2 linked regions of the Bombyx mori genome follow. Each later gene encodes a partner of the first gene's protein in a complex. Links are inferred from orthologs where the notes say so. Each region holds a gene or a part of one and is shown in the gene's direction. Other genes may lie near its edges.

The links.
Region 2: transcription initiation factor TFIID subunit 3 (region 1) and Taf13 share a complex: the UniProt entries of both Homo sapiens proteins name them as parts of the TFIID basal transcription factor complex. The link is inferred for Bombyx mori from reciprocal best matches to the Homo sapiens genes TAF3 and TAF13.

What each region holds. Positions count from the first base shown.
Region 1 is NC_085113.1:3,410,116-3,421,408, reverse strand, and holds transcription initiation factor TFIID subunit 3, read left to right. Parts: upstream 1-1,363; 5' UTR 1,364-1,649; intron 1,650-1,803; 5' UTR 1,804-1,823; coding exon 1,824-5,360; 3' UTR 5,361-6,305; downstream 6,306-11,293. UniProt on the Homo sapiens protein: The TFIID basal transcription factor complex plays a major role in the initiation of RNA polymerase II (Pol II)-dependent transcription.
Region 2 is NC_085115.1:8,089,843-8,100,538, forward strand, and holds Taf13 (TBP-associated factor 13), read left to right. Parts: upstream 1-4,706; 5' UTR 4,707-4,834; coding exon 4,835-4,876; intron 4,877-4,948; coding exon 4,949-5,124; intron 5,125-5,292; coding exon 5,293-5,450; coding exon of another isoform or gene 5,451-5,467; exon of another isoform or gene 5,468-5,601; coding exon 5,602-5,615; 3' UTR 5,616-5,662; exon of another isoform or gene 5,663-7,593; coding exon of another isoform or gene 7,594-7,598; 3' UTR 7,599-7,742; downstream 7,743-10,696. Other genes in the region: uncharacterized protein LOC101745370, read right to left, coding at 9,729-9,847, 10,577-10,696. UniProt on the Homo sapiens protein: The TFIID basal transcription factor complex plays a major role in the initiation of RNA polymerase II (Pol II)-dependent transcription.

The sequences.
Region 1 (11,293 bases):
GACCTAACAACTCAAGAGCAATTGTTTCGCGAATGAATCTACTACCGGATCGGAATCGCGACCCGCTGAGAAGATCCGGCGAGAAACTCAGCGGGCTGATGCATGGGTTAGGTTGCACGTCGACCTCTTTGTCGAGTTCGACGAGTACGGTTACCGGGGTCCCTAAGCCTGCCCCTAGTATTAGAGCTGAAGGCATCTAATGCAAAGGTTATTGGATCTGATGGATCCGTAAGGACGTGTCTAGGGCGTCGACGGTGACTGGCTCCTGCATGATCAGGATTCGGGGAGTAGTCAACGGCGGCTACGATAAGGCGATTATCATGACGCATAGCCTTATCGAAGTATCGTTCCGACGCTGACTTCATGTATTTCCGAATTGATTCGAGGCCCAGGTCGTCGTGTAGGTCAACGTTCCTCACGAACCACGGAGCCCCGACAGCTAACCTGCAAAAGCGGGATTGTAGGGATTGGAGGGTGTCTATGTGTGTGCGGGCCGCGTGAGCGAACACCACACTCGCGTAAGTCATGACGGGCCTTATGCAAGTTTTGTAAAGTGTCACCTTGTTCCGAAGGGACATTTTACTCCGCTTACAGATCATGGGGTAGAGTCTACCGAGAATAAACGCGGCACGGTCACGGACTGATTTTATATGCGGGCGGAATGTCATCGATGCATCCAGGGTAACGCCCAGGTACTTGACCTTCCTGGCCCAGGGTATGGGTTGTCTAAAGAGAGTAATCGGGGGTGTGAGATTCCTCCTCCTAATCCGGGAGGAAATCCGTGTGGAGCTTCCCCTCTGAAATAGCACCGCTGTACTTTTCGCTGGGTTGATGTCTATGCGCCATTTTCGGAACCACTGTACTAGGGCTAGGGCTGCGCTCTGAAGCTTCTTTGCGATTAGGGACTTATTTCTACTAGAATAGTAAACAGTCGTGTCGTCGGCGAATAAAGCTAAATGGGTCGGCGGCGACCGGGGAATATCGTTGACGAATAAGCTAAATAGGAGGGGTGAGAGGACAGAGCCTTGCGGGACTCCAGCTGTGAGAGGTCGTGGGGAGGAGCGGGTTCCCTCGACTCGATATCGAAAAGAGCGGTTTGACAAGAAGTCCCGTATGATGAGCACGAGACTATCCGGCACGCCCATGTTGAATAGTTTGAAATCTGGAATATCTGTGTTAAAGATCACCCAAGCTTAACCGATTATGAGGATTACGGTAGCTTAATTTTTTTTTAATTATTTATTTGATTTAAACAAAAATAAACTAATTGAAAGGAAATGAATTAAAAAGAAACTATAAATAAAACATCTTTGAATAAAGTCGCAAAGCAAATGCTCCCTGTAATCAATTTTAGTCTATCACTAGTATCATTGAACGCTGCCATAAGAAGACCGCCATTTGTTTATTTTCAAATAGCAACACTCGACATTGACAACCCAAAATGCAATCATGGCGCACGGGGTACTGTGTTTTTAGAATGCTGAGAAGTTTTTACGTAAACACTTCGTTAATTTATATTGCCATCGATTTGTGTGTTTTTATAAATTACCCTTGACTTTATATAATCATAGTTAAGCATACATGTATGTACAAAACTTGAGAATTTCAGCAGTTCAGAACCACGTCTCTGTACTACTGGACACTTGCAGGTATAAAAATCACGAGTTTCCTTGTTTTACCACTTTGACGGCTTGTAATATGATTCTCTGTGATCGAAAATGCTTGTACAGCATTTCTTCGCTTCGACGCCATTTGAATTATGCTGATTTATGTTTATAATACCGATATAAACATTTGTTCCAGATAACGTTGTTGGTGTCATAATGTCAGAGGCGTACGCCCGCGAGATACTACGGAGGAATGTTGCGCAAATATGCCAAACTATAGGATGGAACGGCATAAACTCAACGCCACTTGACATTTTGGTACATGTACTGGAGAAATATATCAAAACCCTTGGCATCCAAGCCAGTAGGCATGCTGAACAATTTAATAGGACTGAACCAAATTTACATGACTTAGGATTAGTATTCCGTGACCTTAATGTGAATTTGCCGGAGCTTGCTGAATATGTGCGTTGTGTACCTCCTGTTCCACCTCCAGTAAACTCTGTTAAATTCCCAAAACCGAAAGAATCGAACTTAAACTTCTTAAAACCAGGAAGTCATGAAGTTGTCACAAGGCCCATGCACGTGCATGAGCATCTGCCTCCTATGTATCCAGAGAAAGAGAGAGACACACCGGCTGTTGCAGGCACTATTGAAATACATCAAAATGGTATTGATAATGTCACTAGCAATAATACCATATGTACAAGTCCAGAAATATCTGTCACAGACAGTCCTGAGAAATCAAAGGAAATTTTTAAGAGACCAATTGATCCTGTTTCTTTACCTAATAGTAAAAGGCCACGGTTACGCTTAGAGGAAGAGGAGAGAACGAGAGAAATAAGTAGTGTGATGATGACCATGTCTGGTTTTCTGTCACCAGCCCGTGAAGGTAAACTTCCCGAAGCCCGTCCTCCTACAATTATAGCAGAAAAGCACTTTGAAAAGCACAAAGTTAATTCTCATACAAATGTAACTAAACCTCCAATTTTAGAAAAAGTTGATAAGAAATCTAAGAAAAATAAATTACCTAATGGTAAAATTATGAAGAGTAAAAGAAAAGATAAACATAAGAGTGAAAGTGGTAAAAATAAGGACAGTAATAAATTAAATAAATTTCCTCCTGGTTATCCTGTAAAAAGTAAGGATGTGCAGCCCAGACACCATAATCATATAACTATGCCAGCGCCTGAAGCTGCCCCTCCACCTCCTCCTTCAAGAGCAAAGATGGCACCTCCTCCTGCACTGGTGCCTATTCCAGAGCCAGTAAAACCTGTCATAAAACAGGAACCATTGGATCCTCCGTCACCAATATCCAGAAGGCTTTCTGTTGAAGATGCAATACCGGTCCCTAGAAAAATTCCAATCTCATTATCTCCTCTAGTATCTAATTCCATCACCACACCTAAACAGCAGTCTATGAGTAATTCTCTCATTCCTCACACTGAAATAAAGAGAGAAGTTTTAGATGAAGATGAGAAATTGGCCTCTCAACCTGATAAATCAAAGATTAATATATTTAAGAGAATAACGAACAAATCAAAAGAAGATAAGACTACTCCAGAGGTTGTAAATGATAAAGTAAATCTTGATGCTACTATTTCAAGGTTGCAAAATGCATCACATCAAAATTCAGTTCATAAGTCAAATGAAAATGCAAGAATGAAATCTGAAGTGATAGACCAAATTGTGAACAATAATGACGATAGTGCTGTAGATTTGTCTAAAGTGATGGATTTAAGAAGTAATGAAGTGATTAATATTGATGAGGATTCTTTGGACAGAAACCCTACACCACAGCAAAGACAACTACTGGAATCTAAACCTAATATATCAATCAACAAGTCCTTACAAACCCCTTTTCCCAAAGATCTACCGAGTGTTAGTCCTAAAGTTAAAAAAGAGAAAAAACACAAAGACAAGAAAGATAAAGCAGCAAAATTAGAAGCTAAATTGTTGAAGAAGCAACAACAACAATTAGCCTATGAAATGGCACAAGCTGAAAAGCAAAGTATGAAATTGGCTGGAATGAAACAACATAAAATCAGTAGACAGAAAAATGAATCAAAATTGCCACAAATGCCAGCTGGTTTTCCATTTTTTCATACAATGCCACCTGGAAGAGGTCTTATGCCCGGCCCTGGTCTCATCCCGAACCCTGGATTGATACCAGGAAGTGAATTCTTCACTGGTCTAGCAAACAATCCAGCACTAAGAGGTATGCCACCCTGTAATTTATTAAACAATCCATTTGCTTTGGGAACCAGTGGTCCTGGTCTCATTCCTGGTCCTAGTTTCTTACCTGGAGGCTTGAATTCTCCTCTGATGCCTATGGGAAATTTTGCCCAATCATCGAGATCTTCTTCCGTTAAAATACCACCAATGCTCCGTCGACCGAGTTTGGAGGTAATAGCAGTAGAAAATGATGAGGACAGAGGTATTCATAAGTCTTCAATGAATCGTGAAAAGGACCGCCACGATAAGCACAAATCTCAGACCATTCCAAATATATTACAGAAACACAAGTCTAAGTCGCATAAGGATCACAAGGCTAATTTGTTCAAAATGCCTCTTGTACAACCAGACATAACAATTGAACTGAATCCTCCGAAATCAGAAGGTATTAGACATCATGAGCCACCCCGGGATGCACTCAATCAAGCTCGTGTGTCTGCTCCAGCCAGGCCTGTAGGACCTACGCCACCAATACCTCCACGTGTGCCTATCTCCAAGCCTGATCCTGAATCTGAACCGGTAAGGGAAATGCCTCCCGTCAGGATGGCTACACCGGATTCTATTCTAGAAAAAGACACCGAAAACACAGATAAAAAGAAGGATAAATCCCATAAAAAAGAAAAGAAAGACAAAGATGGTGTAAAAATTAAAAAGAAGAAAGATAAAAAGGACAAAAACAAAGATAAGTCTGAGAAAAAGCGCGATAAAGAAGAAAAACAAGAATTAAAAGATAAAATAAAAAAAGAAAAGAAAGAGAAGAAAAAAGATAAAATTGGCGATGGTCTTGTTCCGAAATTGACGTTGAAAATAAGTTCTTCAAATTCTAATTCACCTATGCCACCAAGCTCGCCCGATACTTTCAAATTAAATATAAAACCTGTAGTGAAGAAAGAAGAAGAGGACAGTCCAGTAAAAGACGAACCTTTGTCCAGGGAGCACAGTCGTTCGCCTGAGTTAGCTCAGATTTCGGCTCTCGTTACTAGACCACCCAAACAAAAACATTCTAAACACAATCACCTCGCAGACGGAGAGCCTCAGCCCTCGCCGCCCCCCTCGGGCAGCTCACCGCCCGAGAAGGGCACGCCCTCGAGTCATTCGAAATACAAAAGGATATTGTTCAAGCCGTTGGCGAAGAAGGGCCACGAGCACTTTGAAGACGAAATCGCAACGTTGTCTGAGGAACCGGCCGTGGCGCCGGCACCCGCCCCCGCCCCGCCCCCCGACACTAAGCTCGAACCCCTCCCTACCCCTTATTATGTTGATGAACAGGGCAACAAAATATGGGTTTGTCCGGCGTGCGGCAGACCGGACAACGGTTCGCCGATGATCGGCTGCGACGGATGCGATGGCTGGTACCACTGGGTGTGCGTGGGCATCACGGAGGAGCCGGGCGCCACGGAGGACTGGTTCTGCAAGTCGTGTATCGCGAAGCGCGCCGCGATGGCGCTCGCCGGCGTCACTTCCGGCAAGAAAAGAGGCCGGAAACCCAAAGGGGAAAAAATCAGAGACTGTCATTAATACGGACCTTATGTTGTTACTGAGATTAGTTTTAATATCCTTTCGATAGGCAAGAGTGAATGGATGAGAGTTGTTAATGGATTAATTGTTGAATAATATCACGAAGAAAAATGTTTTCATCATTTATAATGTTATATCATAGGCTCGATTAAGTATAGATAATAATTGAATATTGACATAAAATGTTGAACATAAAATATAGTGTAGTTACTTGTAATAATTTTACCAATAATTCTAAATATTTTGTTACGATTTCTCGTTTATTTTCTTTCGCTCGGTTAGATCAAGATTAACTTACGCGAGCGCGTTATACACATCTCGCGTGTAGGTATGTATACATAGATGATAATATAAGATTCTTTTTATATTGTACAAAAACTGAATTTACTTAAGAAATTGGTGATGTATAAAGTAATGTAGTGAATATTTAATAAACAGAAGAAGGCTGGATGCATTTTCAGCTGATATTTGAATATTTTCATATTATGATTTTAATATAACCCTGTTTATTTCTGTTGTTTTACTTTCGTTTTGTACAAGGCAAGGACGATCGTGTGATTTTGGCGCCAAAACAAATTCGTTATCCAGTGCGGATACTTCACACGGCTTGCTTACTTGCGACATCTGGCTGAAGGGAGGGGGGCCAATGTATTTGTTTTATTTCAGCCATGGCCAATTAAATGTATTGGTTCTCGTAATGTAGTACATTATTTAAACCCATAATCACGGTTTTGTGTACGGTAAGACGTTCGGGGTATGGGAACGCAAAAATTGCAAATGATAATTCCGAACTTCTGTGTGATTATTATAACGAGGCCTGATGTGATCTTTGCTGTGTGGTCTTGTAATTTAATTTATTAAACAATCTAAACCCTTTTATTCTTTCGTCCACAATTCACCTACCATATTGTCAAAGATATGTATGAAATATAAAATTTGAGTCAACTTTTTTGAAGTTTACTTTTTCTAAATTATTTATGTATTTTAACGTGTTTGATGAAGCTGAGTCAAAATATTTATCGACTGGGCAATTTGTAACCTTCAATTTACTTGTGGGCTCATTCAGTGTGTGAAGAAGAGATTCATATTTTGTAGTGGAATTTGTATTTGTCTTTTACGTGTTGAAATGTTGAAATTATAGTATAATTTTCAGTTCTTGCATGGTTTCTAACTTAATATCATCAACGAACAGTGACTCAAGTTGCTTCAACACATTTGGTCATTTTGTATATTTGCGGCAGTCGCTTAGAGGCTTGACCAGTGAGCTCAGTGCGAGTTTCTAAAGTTCTCGACCGCGTAAAAGTTAACTCAAATATGTATGAAGCTGGAACAGCGCCCCTAGCGGCAAACGTATGGGGCACGAGAAGTTAAGAAACTTACTAAGCATAATGATCCAACCGTGACAAAAATGTATCTAAAACATTCTATACATATTGAAATTATAATATATTATGCTCTTGGTTCTTTGTATGTAAACTTTTAACAGTTATGAAAAAGTACAAAAACACGCTATTTATTTATTTAATTGTAACATGTTCTATTAACGTTTTGTGAGTCAATCCGCGGAATCATCTCTTTCACATTTCTACCTCCATACGTAATAGCCTGTGATCACCTCAGTGTGCTTAGTGCGAGTTTTTTAACGTTCTCGATAGCGTAAAAGTTACCTCGTATTTGTACGGAACGGGAACGTTTGCGTACGTTTGCCGCTAGGGGCGCTGTTCCAACTGCACACGGCTTCACTTTTACGCTATCGAGAACGTTAAAAAACTCGCACTAAGCACACTGATAACGTCTTAAGGTCCCTACTACTTTGACAAAGCAGTCCGACACGATAACACGGCAACGCAAAGACGTCCTCACCCGAAACATGTCTTGTTAAATCATCTGAATCCACTCACCGTGCTTTTAGGCCCCTCAAGCAACGTCCTCGTCGGAATCGATCATTACGACGAAGAGTTCGACGAGCGAATTAGCCCAGATACAACCCACTGAGTTTCTCGCCGGACCTTCTCATTTGGTCGCGATTCCGATCCGATCTTGATAGAGGTAGCACTAGCAAATTCTCTCAGGTTAAGTCCTCGAACTCCTAGCTTTTGTCTACCTATCTGCCATTGGCTTATTCTGGCTTCCCTATAACTCGTGGGCGAGTTCACAGGACTCAGCCTGAAATACTGCAAGACAACGTGACTTAATCTGTTCCGCAAGTCGATCCCATAGGTTTGTGAACAATTTTTACGATCGTTAACATTAGTACATTGCAACATTGTCTAAGACTTCCGGGACCGGGTAGTTTCTCGTATTATCAACATGTACATTTCTGATACCACCGTCCTGTGCTTTTCGTTTTATTTTATTTTTACAGCTCTATAGATGCGAATGCTCACGGCTCTTTTAGTGTTGAGGATAGCGTAGTGCATACACATCATATAAGTACCACCCACTCGCAAATGATCTCCGCTCACTCATTTAGAACAGCACGTCTAATACCAAAACTTTTTTTTTTGTAAAAGACTATATTCATATAGTTCAATTACAAATATTAGGTATTTTTCACGACACGCATTGTTTCTCTAGAAATCTTCGGGACTAGCAACTAGATGGCGCTGCAGTCGAATTTGGCTCATAAAACAATGTTGGTAGTGAATTGCAACACTAATATGTGAAATGAACTCAAATTTCCAACTTAACTAATCGCTTTAATACAATGTTTTACTGGTAGGACGTATTGTAAGCCCATTAAGACAGTTACCACTTTAATGCCTACATTTGCCACTTGGTTGCCACGAAGCAACCAAGCGTTCCGCTTTGAAAGATGAGACAGATAAAATACAGCTTTTTTTTCTTAACTATGCAGATAGAATCGAATCGAATTCCCAGAATCTACCACCAGATCGGAAACGCGACCCACTGAGCAGATCCGGCGAGAAACTCTGTGGGCTGTGTCTATGGGTTAATTTATTAGTCGAGCCCTTCGTCGCAAGCGACGGGTTCGGCGAGGACGGTGACTGGTGCTTGAGGTACCTAAAAGCACCGTTAATGGATCGGGAAGATCCGTAATAACGTGATTAGGGTGACGTTGACTGTTTACCATTCGGTCCATTGGATCGGGTATGTAATTTCCGGCGGCCACATGAAGGTTTTCGTGTCGCGCCGCCTTCTCAAAGTGGCACTGGTGCCGACTGAAGATACCTACCTATTGTTGGAGTCAAGCTCCAGATCATCATGGAGATCCACGTTCCTCATGAACCATGGTGCTCCGACGGCTATCCTGCAAAATCAGGATTGAATGACTTGAAAGGGTTTCAAATTAGTGCGGGCCGCTTGAGCGAACCCTACACTTGCATAGGTTATGACAAGTTTGGTAAAATGTCACCTTATTACGAAGGGGCAATTTACTTCGTTTGCAAATCATCGGATAGACATTTCACAAGCAATACTCCGTCATTTAAGTAGTAATTAAATTAAGTATAGTAACCGGCAAACTTCTTGAGCAAATGACCTTGACTGCGCAGAACCGAATTTTAGATCACTTTGGTGGTGAGGGTGAGGCGCGACGGCAGGGGAAATCGTATCGAGCGCGTTATTGGTAGATCAGTCGAACCTTGCGTCCCGCACCGCGCCCTCTTTCCGCTTGCTCCCAAAAGTACGCTTGCGTACAGTGAAAAGTCTATCGTTATTAATTGTTAAGTTATTTGTTATAATTGCTTGTTGACTTTGTTGCCATTTCTATATGTTGAGTGTTTGTTGATTTTTTATAAAAAATACACTATGCCGCGACAAACTGGTGTAGTAATCAAAAGAAAGGGTAGAAAAATTGTGTACGACGTATATTGCTTCATTTTAAAACAGGAGAAGGATGATGATGGTCAAGATTATGATAACGAAAAAAAAATTACAAGTACCAGCTTCGCTTCAACTGAACGAAGACCTGGCAACAGCTCTAGTTTTGACTTAATAGAAGGAATATCTATTTTACCCCAAGATCAAATTATTACAATTATTAACCTATATTTTTTGTTGATGTTTTAATAAATATATAAATAAATACATAATAATTATGTTGATATTAATAATTTAATAGCATTATGACGCAGAATAAATAATGTTTTTGCACGTGAGTGTACCATGCGCGAACTTACCCCCACTACGTCGACAAATGCTCAAGAAGTTTGCCGGCTATTATAGATACGTTGCGTTTCACTTATAAAATACGTATCAGTCATTAATGGTATTTTAATTAACAATCAGCTGGAACGTATTATGGTACGACGTTACAAATCGGTATTTAGTATTTTAGTAAATGTTTAATAAAGTTTCATATTCTGATGCTGTCGATACGTAAATCATATGAGCTTTTTTTATTGCATTGATGCGTAGTTGAGAACACGGCCCATCTGATGTTAAGTGATTATTGAAGCCCGATTGCATCACATTGTGAATGCCGCCAGCCATTTTGAGATATGAGCTCATATTGCCGTAGAAATAGGCAAGCCCCTACTTACCCGTGCGGGCTTAAAATACGCCTAAAATACCAGTAATTGTCTAGAAAAATTTATTAAATGTATTTATTGTGTCATGCTTGGATTGCCTTAATTGTTTTTTTTTGGAAATTACCATTTAATTTTTATTAATTTAATAAGTAAGAACTGACAAGAACTTTCAATGGCTTATTTAACGGCCGAATAAAACATGTGATAATTTTGTAATAAACAATAAAATACTTCGAGTTTAGCTTTTGTAAAATGTGAAATCATGATGTATTTAATTAATAAATGACAATATCTTGAGATTATTGCCACGAAAACTTAACACCACTAAACTTGTACAGCCTTTAACTTCATAAATAATTTCCCTTCTAAATCTAGTTATTGCACAATTTGAATTAACAAACATAAATAAATTGCTATCTGCATGACGGAGCATCGCTTCAGAAACGCTTGAGCTATCTGACGAATTTATTCTTCGTTGTGTAGGTACAAAATTGGAAAACCCACAAAAAAAATCTTAATCTTAGTGCGAGAGGGATTTTACCAGTTTTTTCATATGACAAAATATTCACTTTTTTCATGGACACGACATATTGTCCAGATACAGACATCCTTGGGCGGTTGAGTGAGTGTGGGAGTTGAACCTTCTCCACTTCATAAAGATAGCAACAGACAGGATGAGGAAGGCGCAGTACTGTCTAAGCATGTTTTTCATTGCTTAGATGGGTGGACGATTTCACGGCAGACCTGGTGTTAAGTAGTCATTGGAGCCCATAGACATCTACAACGTAAATGCCGCCACCCACCTTGAGATATGAAGTCGTCGTGGCCTAAAGGATAAGACGTACTCAACAACTGTTCACGATTGACTTCTACGGTGAAGGAATAACATCGTGTGAGTCCGCACGGGTAGGTACCACCACCCCGCCAATTTCTGCCGTGAAGCAGTAATGCGTTTCAGTTTGAAGGGTGGGGCAGCCGTTATAACTATGCTGAGACCTTAGAACTTACATCTCAGGGTGGGTGGCGCATTTACGTTGTAGATGTCTATGGGCTCCAGTAACCACTTCACCAGTCGAGCCGAGCTCGTCCACCCACATAAGCAATAAAAAAAACTGTATTTATAAAAATTGGACCAATTTTATTGGGTAGTCGACTTTGAAATACCATTGATCGGCTTTCGCATGCAACGGTTTTGGTTTTCTTAGATGGGATGATGCTCAGAAACCTGTACCTACGCTAAGAAGGTGAGCATCAATAATAAAACTAGTATATATTTATACCGGAATATTTATTTTACAAAAAAGACGTCCAGCTAACAGGCATCTATTAACACACAGCTGTACACAGAAATGCAAGGCTCAATATTGTGTAACTCCCACATTCAAAGTTCCAGTATTTTGATCTTTCGACTACAACTAAAATATGTTACGAAAACAGTAA
Region 2 (10,696 bases), on another chromosome or scaffold:
TGTTTGTATCTGCCACAGTTATCTGTTCAAGAAAAATTACTGTTAACAAGCCCTTGTATCAATTAAAAGGTAAATAATCCAAGGTTTCAAAATGTATTTGTTTTTGTAATATAACAAAGTCAAAAATATTGGATATGTACCCAATATGTGAATAAAAAATTGATGATACGTTTGTAAATAAAATTTTTAAATAATTTTTAATGTTATCAGCCTGTTTTTGTAATAAAGACAAAATATATATAATCAATTCACATTTTGAATACTAAAAGCCCCCATAGTGTATCGGATTTTTTTATAAATTTATGTACAACAGCTTAAGAATAGAACCTATATTCCAATTTTCTTTAGATATAAGCTGTCAACATAATAGGTATAAAATGGATGAAATTTAAAATGTTTAAAGGTAAATTTTTATTATGGCATCAAATTTTAAAGATATCTGTTGTGTCAATCGATGTAGTTATTTGTGAGGTTTTTTTTTCACTTATTAAATAATAATTTATTGATCTCTTTGTGGAAATATCCATTTGTCTCACTGCATCTAGTTTTATATGAGAAGTCTCATGAACGTCAAAGTGTGGATATGTTATCGATATTCGTATTATTGGTCTGTGTTAAAATAGAGACTTACCTACACACAGTAACAAACAGTAAATGAAGGCTTCCCATGTCATAAAGTATTAATCATAGATTGTATGTATGTAGAGCTTTAACCCACCCTGTGATTTTACTATATTTAATTTTATTCTGTAAAGTTTTTCATAATATTATACATTTTGAGGAAAATCTTGGAAATAATAAACTGTAAGAATGTATTATAAGTGTTTTATATTCCTTGTTTACTCACAAGACATAAAACAAGAAAAATTATATGATTACCTTTTCATTGCATATATTGTTTTAAATTCAACAGAAACCATAGGAATCATGATTTGCGTCCAGTTTGCGATCCAGTTTATTTTATAATAAAAAAGCTAAATCAAAAGAACGCTCTACATTTTCATTCACTAGAAGTAGTGCCTGAACCTTTAATTTTTTTCTTCTTTTTTTTGCTCTTTTTCTCTTTGCTTTTCTTTTTCTTTACTTTCCCTTCTTTTACATTTTCCTGCAAAAGAAAAACAGGCATAAATCCGAAGACAACAGTATTGTAGACAATATGGTCACCAAATGACAATATAGTCTGTCACTTTTCTGAGCCCCTCGTAAGGCATGGGAAGTGAGTTCATTCCAATATCATGGAAATTAATAACAGATGATTAGAATAACTTGCTAGATTAGAGCATGAGAAACGAAGAAAAATTACAGAAGTGTGTCTCTGTGTGTGTGGTGTGTGTGTGGTGTGTGTGTGTGTGTGTGTGTGTGTGTGTGTGTGTGCGTGTGTGCGTGTGTGTGTTTTCTTTGCATATTAGTGATGATTTATAGTATTTATTACCTTTTTCACGATTTCAATTTTTGGGGCAACTGGAGCACATCCTTCCATCCTTATTGCAGCTGTGACTTCATCAATTTTGCTCATGTCTGCATTTGGAACCTTATACTGTTCACAATGATCAACACGTAATGTACGCCCAAGAATCTATAGCAAAACAATTAATATTTTTTTACTTTTTTAATTTTTTTTATTGCCTAGATGTGTGGACGAGCTCACAGCCCACCGGGTGTTAAGTGGTTACTGGAACCCATAGACATCTACAACGTAAATGCGCCACACACCTTGAGGTATAAGTTCTAAGGTCTCAGTATAGTTACAACGGCTGGCCCACCCTTCAAACCGAAACGCATTACTGCTTCACGGCAGAAATAGGCGGGGCGGTGGTACCTACCCGTGCGGACTCACAAGAGGTCCTACCACCAGTAATTACGCAAATTATAATTTTGCAGGTTTGATTTTTATTACACGATGTTATTCCTTCACCGTGGAAGTCAATCGTAAACAATTGTTATGTACGTATTTCATTAGAAAAATTGGTACCCGCCTGCAGGATTCGAACACTGTTGCATTGCTATATACGAATGCACAGGATGTCTTATCCTTTAGGGCATGACGTCTACATAACTACAAAAATAAAATGCATATGATGCACCATAATAATAAACTGTTTTTCACTTTCTTTTTTAGTAGTATTCTCTCTTTTAATATTTACCTTAATACTATTCAGATTGTCAACTGCTAAAATTGTTGATCTCTGATCCTCATAGCACAAAAATGCAAATCCTTTTGGTTTCCCAGTTGTTTTATCTCTTACCATGTTTATATTTACAATTTCACCATACCTTTCATAAAATAAAAAATTGATCATTACTTAGTAATAGCTGTTGGTAGAATGATTATTACACTCAGATCTAGGTCAGTGACTGACAAATGTCCATTGGCTTCATGCAATATCTGAATATCTATATATCTAAGAAACATAATTAACTAGCTCCCTATAAAAAATATATATTTTATTTCAGCAAGTAATAATGAATGTGAAAAACCTTACTGAGAAAATACACATATAACATCTCCTTCAGTCAAATCATATGGAAGTCCACCAACAAATATCCATGCACTGTCCTTATATTGATCATGCCAAGAAGTTTTTGAGCTGCTTCCTAATTCATGTTCACTAAGCTTTAAAACATTCTTCACATTTCTGTAAAAAATTAAACACTCAATGGAATATGGCCAATTTTTTTATATATTATTTGCTGATTAACAAATGAAAGTTTTTTTTATTGCCTTTGTAGACCGACAGCATATAACCCATCTGATGGCAAGTGGTTACCATTGCTCATGGACATCAGCATAGCTAGCCCAACTGGTGTTAAGTTGTTGTCTCATTGTGATGAGAACAGTGAGTCGACTATCTCAATCATGGCTTCAGTTTTTAGTAAAACAACTGATGTACCCTTTCAACTAGAGCTAGCTTCGCAGTAAAAATACCCATGGTTGTGGAACCTACATGTACAGTCTGACAAAACCACACCTCAAGTTTGTGGATATGATTTTCATTACATGATGTTATTCCTTCATTGTGAAAAACATTCATGAATATGTGTTAATATGGATTTCCTTAGAAAAATTTGAAAATTCCTGCAAGGTTTGAAAATTCATATAATAATATGTAGTTCAATAGAAGTACACTAGGTGTCTGATCCATTAGATTATAATGAGGACTGAATAAAATGACAACAGCAAAAAGTTTCGTTTGTTTTTCCTCACATCACTCATCTTCATAATATCACTTGTGTTCAATTTCAAACGGAACCCCACATTTTAAACATGGTGCAGTAAATTAATGAAACTAGTAAAATGTCTTACTCACGTCATTGGATTCATTATGACCGGCTTAACTCACGGCTCACGGTTTACGAGTTAAAATTGTTTAAAGTTTCCATAAATATTAGAAAAATCGTCAAGGTAGACGTCACAATGGGGTTGGCAACTGTCAAAGTGGCGCTGGTGTGCATTGTTCCCATAACATTCAATATTTGTATTGGAATTTTTGATTAAAAATTATTTTAAGCACAATGACGCGTTGTTTTGTACCAATATGCTCAGAAATTGGAGTACATCAATTCCCGAAGGACAAGAAAATTGGAAGACTGTGGTTAAAGGCCATTTGACGCGAAAAAAGTATTCATACAGAAAGTTCGAGGTTATGTCGTAAACACTTTGTGGAATCTGACTATGAAAACATTAGTAAATACACAGGTATGCTTCTTTCTGTCAAATATATATAATGCATGACTAGGTGTAGCACACATCATTGTTCTCTTATTAAAAAAATCCAATAATAATAAGTAGATTCATGCTGTAAGGAACCTTATAACAAACACAAAATCAGACTGGAGGAAACACATTCCTCATGAGCTGTTGTTCATTATCAGCTGTTACTATTGAAAGTTCTATCTAAATCGCTGCATCCATTGCAATAACAAATATTTTGAAACTATGGTCAGCTTTCCTTGTGATAGTATATTTAAATGTTATTCTTTGTGTTGCAGGTGTCAAACATTAACATAAATATCTGAAGAAAGGTGCTGTACCATCTATATTTTCATGGAATATGAAACCAGTTTCTGAAGAAACAAAAAGTAGAGAAGTTACTTATGTAACTTTAGAGAAGGAATTGTCAATAAAAATAATTAAAAATATTCCTGATTTTTTATTTCGACAAGTGTGTATAGTTATAATACAGATATTTTTTATACAATGCTTCTTTGAAAATATTTTCATAAAAGATATCTAATTTATTTAACATATTATTTATAAAATTATTGTCTTTTTCAACATAAATCACTTTGATGTCCTTGTAGGTGTAAATGACCAAGTTGCAGTATGTTTTGCCTGAGCAGTATAACTGTCCTTGGATTTGATAATAGTATGGGCAGGATTTTTTAGAGACAATATCCCGTTACATCGTTCTAAGTAAGGCACCGTTGATATATTTATTTCATGTTTTCTGCTAGCGTATGGACATTTCACTTCAATTATAGCTTCTTCGCCCAACACACCATCAGGAGATGCAGCAAGATATGGGCGCTCTTGGCTATTGAAAATGCCACATGGCTCCACTAGCAAATCATATATATTAGCATATTTTGCTAGAGCATTTTTTTCATTTTGTTTCATGACTTAAAGGTCTCAGTTACCAGGTCATAAAATCCCTTAAAAAAACTCTATGTCAATGTCATTCTCCATAAAATAAAAGATGTTCATTGTTTTACTTTAACTCGTTTGTTTTAAAATCCACAACAAAACTACTACCACTACTGACTATTTATTTATGTAAAATTTCTACAAATAAACGTTTTAAGTTTTACAAAAAAACTTTAGTAAATCAATATCATGGCCACTCCCACTCCTGATTCGCAAGATAACTTTGACCAGGTAAAACTATTGATTTTCCGTTGCTTGTTTATTTTTTTGTTCTTTTGTGTACATAAAAGTATTGCTTTGTAGTTTGATGAAGAAGAAGAGCAACAGTTAGGTGGAACTACATCTGGTCGTAAAAGACTTTTTAGTAAGGAATTGAGATGTATGATGTATGGATTTGGTGATGATCAAAACCCGTATACTGAAAGTGTCGATTTTTTAGAAGACTTAGTTATTGAATTTATAACAGAAACAACACATAGGTAAGATAAAAAAAAAACTTTTTTGTGTCTTGAGAAAACTTCAATATTTTTATTCTTCTTTATATTCATGTTTGTGTTTCACTCCGTATACCACATCACACCAGGTGGACTCATGAACTCATGCAATCCTAGATTTAAATAGTACAATACTAAAAATATATATAACAGGGCAATGGAAGTTGGTAGAACAGGAAGAGTCCAAGTAGAAGACATAATTTTCTTAGTTCGTAAAGATGCACGAAAGTATGCACGTGTTAAAGACCTTCTTACAATGAATGAGGAACTTAAGAAAGCTAGAAAAGCTTTTGATGAAGTAAAATATGTTGGTGAGTTGTACATTTGATTGTAAAATTTGAGTGAATTTATTCCCATTAAAAAATCCAATTCTATATTACTATCATTGTAGTGTTTCAGTTTGAGATGTTTCATCTAAAGTGTGATTATTAATGTTTGTATTGAAATGTTTTGAAATTATAGAGGACCAACAGTAACCATACTGTGGCCATACAACCGACGCCATGCTTCTAGACTGATTGATGCAAGTAACATATATTTAATTATAACACTGCTTTTGTGTTTGCACATTCACAACAACACTAATGTCATGAATGGTTGTAAATTTAATAAGATCCTGAATGTAGATGTATCTGTAATTTGTTTTGATTACTTTAAATGTATGGTAAATTATACTATATAATATAATATTTATTTACTATCAAATATATAATATTTAGTACCTACTTTTTTAAATTTTATTGTGATCACCAGTGTATTATAAACAATAAGGTTATCATTATAGTAATAGAGTTAGAAGACCTTGTGCAAACGATATTATAGAATGTTCTGTTAAGTAGTATTTGCCCAAATTGTAGCATGTGAATCTGATTGTGAAAACTAAATTCTATTTTTCTTAATGAATATGCATTTTTATTAAAAAAAAATCTCACAAATGAATCATGAAAGTATTTTCTATTACTAGCCACAATTTTTCTCATCTTTGTGGCAAAGTTCAAATACCTCCTTGGTAAATAGAAGTGTCATTTTTGAGATTATCTATGAATGAAACTAAGCTATTGTTTGATATCTGTATATGAATGGAACAACCAGCCAAGTAGATACCATCAAATGGAACAAAGAATAATCGAACAGCAAAATATTTGGGACTGTGGAGCTTAATATTATCATGCAGGAGCATCACTTTCTTGTGTCTCTGCTCATTTTGTGGGCATTTTTCATGCAGTGTAAGCATTGCATTAAGCTTCACTGCATTAATTATATTCTATATCATTCTTCAGTGGAGGTTTTGTTCAGCTCCACAGCTCTTAATATATAATGCCAACCTGATTGCACCAAATACACAGTATAACCTTCGTAAGCTGAATATTTGGCAGTGGCAATGATGTAGAAACATTAACGGGGAGTCTATCATTAGTCCTTTTCCTCCCCGTGTGTTTCATCATTGCAAAACCCTTTCTTTTGTACTGTTGGAGTAGTCGTTCACAGATGAAAAGACAATGTTCAACATCATTTGGCTTCACTTCTAAAGGGAATCAAGTGTTACCCACTAGTGGATATGCCCAATCTTGGCTTGCAACCCTTAATATCGAAACAAGCTGATCTTATGTTTGATATGAATCCTCATCGAACAATAGGTTTTCATCTTTCGCATCTGTGGAGCGACGGAACCAATCAATGCCATGTTGCTTCATTCACATTTTCTCAATGCACTTGAGCTGCTGTTTTCTTTGAATGAAAGCAATTCTTCCTGCAAATGATGCTTCATTGGCACAAAATCAGACCATAACTTATTGCTGCAATTTGGTAGGTAAGCTCCTGGGGATCAACCTACTCCTGACTGATCTCCAAATCTTGCCCCTCCTGCCTAAGTCCAACCTGGCCTGCCTTATCTTGGTGAAGCTGGAAGACATCCATGCAATGCCGCTATCAAAAAAAAAATTGCAAATAATCTGTTTAACAATAATAATTAATTTCACGTATGTTTTCACGTTTAGAAATTCATATTGCATAAGCATTTTTATTGTTTATTGTTAATTTATGTGTTACTTTTGCACTTTGGTATTTGAAAGTTGTGTTTTGGCAAGAGATAGCAGCTTGAACAGTTAGCATGTTAGGATATGAGAATTTGTGTACTAATGAAATGAATGTCTAATATTTACATCTTGTACTACTTTATAGGTACTCTAACCCTAGATATATCACATAAAACTGTTTGGCTTGATAAAGAAATTAAAGCACTACTATCTGTAGAATGTTTTTTAAGAGAAAACAACAGGATTAGCAATTGTAGCATAATAGTATTTGTGTTGCTAATGGGAAATATATGTGTTGTGTTCAAAATTGTATGTTAAATAATTGCAAATTTGTTTCCACCAACAAGGTTTGTTGGTGGGGGAGTAATTTATTGTTAATAAATTGAGTAATAGGCTAATTATGCATTTAAAATTTCAGAATGAATACCAAAAACATAATTGGACCTGATAAAAGTAATACCAATTTGGGACTTTGGAGAGCAGTGAAATGAAAAATGAATTAACTATTTGATATTATGAATTTATTAAGCTAGTAAGGTAATAAGTAATAAAACTTACTGACAAATATCCTTGTTTGTTTTTCTTCAGAGTAGTATTAGAATATTTAGTAATGTTTGTTAAATATAATAATAAAATAAAAAAGATTGTGTTTTTTGCTCTATGACTTATCTAAAAAAAAATATTTATTTTTTAGACAATTTTTTTTATGATACAGCATACAAAAATACATACAACCCTAAATTTTCACCCCTCTACGATCAACCCTTATTTTTTATTTGTTAATACTGTTCGGGAAAACTTACTTTTGGACCAGATGACGTGTAAGACCTTGATTAGGCCCTGATTAAAAAAAGGAACTAATATATATTATCATGTACAGGGACTGTTCTAAGTTCTTTAACAAAAAAATTCAAATTGAAAGAAAATCATACTTGATTAATATGTAAACTTTATTTGTGCGCAAATACAGTAAACACTAAATAAACAATACTAGAAATTAAAGTTAGTGGCAAAGAAAATTTAAAAAATTAAATTTTCTGTATTAAATTTATGCAATATATTATTATTCTAATGATTAAATAAAATAACAATTTTACATACATCCTTTTAGGTTAATATTTGTCTATAATATGTTGGTAGGTACAATAATAACTTGATATTATATGAAGTTTTTTTTGTCAACAATCTATAAACATATTAATTTTAAAAATACAATGTTCCACCAAGTAGGTTGTAATAAATATTTTAACAATGTTTCACAATAGAGGCGACTAGACTTGATGTTCAATAAAACATCAAAAGTCCATACTTTGGTTTTTTTCATAACAGATTTTAAACATTTCATATTATAAATAGGCCGTCTATGGCAGTTAGTACAATATAAATAGGTTAGTTCTAAATTTATTAACCTAAGATACTTTCTAAGCTCGGGCTGATAAATTATTGTTTAAATATCATTAAATGGAATGACATTGCAATCTTAATTTGTAAAAGTTACATAATATCAATTTCATCGTGAACTTTCTTTGCCGATCTAAAGAAATTAGAACAGGAAGACATTACTTTTGAGCGTAAAATTAGTTGAATGGATTGGAACAGCAATCTGTTGGTAAATCACCAGTATTTTTCTCTGTTTCTTTTACAAAAAAATCTCAACAAGTCTGCCTATAATCTGCATGTAAATATTATAGTAAACATGTACATCTAGTAAATATATTTTATCTATGACATCAGGATATATATTTTAGCTTATTATTATCACTTGATGTGATTCATCTTATGGCAGACATCCAAGGCAACTATAGTTTCTCCATACTTGTACTTCCATATATGTTTTAAATTAATTATTTTTATCAACTTATCATATCAATGTCAAGTTTCAGTGCTATAGTGTGCTGTGCTATAAAGCATTCACGTAAATATATTGACCACACAATACAATTGTAATTAAGAACCTTCAATTATTAAACCCAACTGAAACTCCCTTGGCAGTGATCTATCATCTGTTGAAACTACCCGTGCGCCACCTGTTGTACCCTGATGGTACTATAACAAATCTCTGAACTACCTATCATATATTGTAACTATACTGAGACCTTAGAACTTATATCTCAAGGTGGGTGGCGCATTTACGTTGTAGATGTCTATGGGTTCCAGTAACCACTTAACATCAGGTGGGCTGTGAGCTCGTCCACTCGTATATGCAATAAAAAAAAAAATATATATTCAATTTCACTTAAAATCACATCAACAATTTAGAAATGCCTAGAGAACAAATTTACAAAGAAACATTTGTTGTTATAGAGGTGGCTTTAGTAAATCTGTATCAAGCACATTTTTTTGTTATCTGTGTTCTAAAATATTTAACATAAGACTGAAAATTGTAAATAAATAATTGTTGAAGGTATGTATTTAATAACGAGTTAATTTTAAATAAGTTTAAGATTTCTTTCATCTATATCTTGAGAATAACTTTGAACACGTTATTTAGAATATAGCGTAAGATATTGTGTGGTAATTCATTTTGTGATTTCTAGTCGTTTGATAAGAAAATTATTCAGAAGGAGGTGGGTCTATTGCGCAGATTATGGCTTTCATGACTGCAGCAGCGCATAGTGCAGCGTGGGGCTGCCAGTCCTTCCCACGGGTGCCGTCGCGATAGTCCGATATACCTGAAATACATAAATATCAATTAATTTAAATTGCAATTATAGTAATCCGTTTCAGTCAATTATGACCAAGGCCTTCTAGAATGGAACGCCACAAGACGTCATTGACGTATTGTCTATACTAATATTTTAAAGCTGAAGAGTTTGTTTGATTGAACGCGCTAATCTCAGGAACTACTGGTCCGATTTGAAAAATTCTTTCAGTGTTACATAGCTCATTTATTCAGGAAGGCTATAGGCTAACGGTAAGACAATACAAGTGGAGTACCAATAAAGAATGTTTCAAAATAGGGGTTTAAATAGCTCCTTAATATTCTATAATTCAAAAATATTTTCACTTTTTACGTAAATGAAGTGGGAGGTAAAATTTAGCGTTATGCCAAAGTAACTATTCCACGCGAACGAAGTCGCGGGCAAAAGCTAGTATTTAATAAAGTTTAGTGTATTAATCATAAATAAACAACGTCTTTTAAATTTATTACGTACCAATTTATCTCTTAACTGTATCAGATATACAAACTTATTTTCAAGAAACAAATAGATGTAACGGAAGATATCAATGTGCTTAGTACGAGTTTTTTAATGTTATCGATAGCGTAAAAGTTAACTCAAATTTTATGGAGTTGGAACGTTTACCTACGTTTGCCACTAGGGGCGCTGTCGCTATCGAGAACGTTAAAAACTTGCACTGAGCGCACTGATTGGTGCTGAATAATGAGAATGACAACTGACCTCGCAGCGATATGAAGCAGTCCTTGCAGTTGCCGACGACGCTGTCGAGCACGGCGTCGAGCTCGCAGTCGTAGGCGAGCGCGCGCGTGTGGGCGGCGAAGGCGGCCCGCCCCTCGCCCG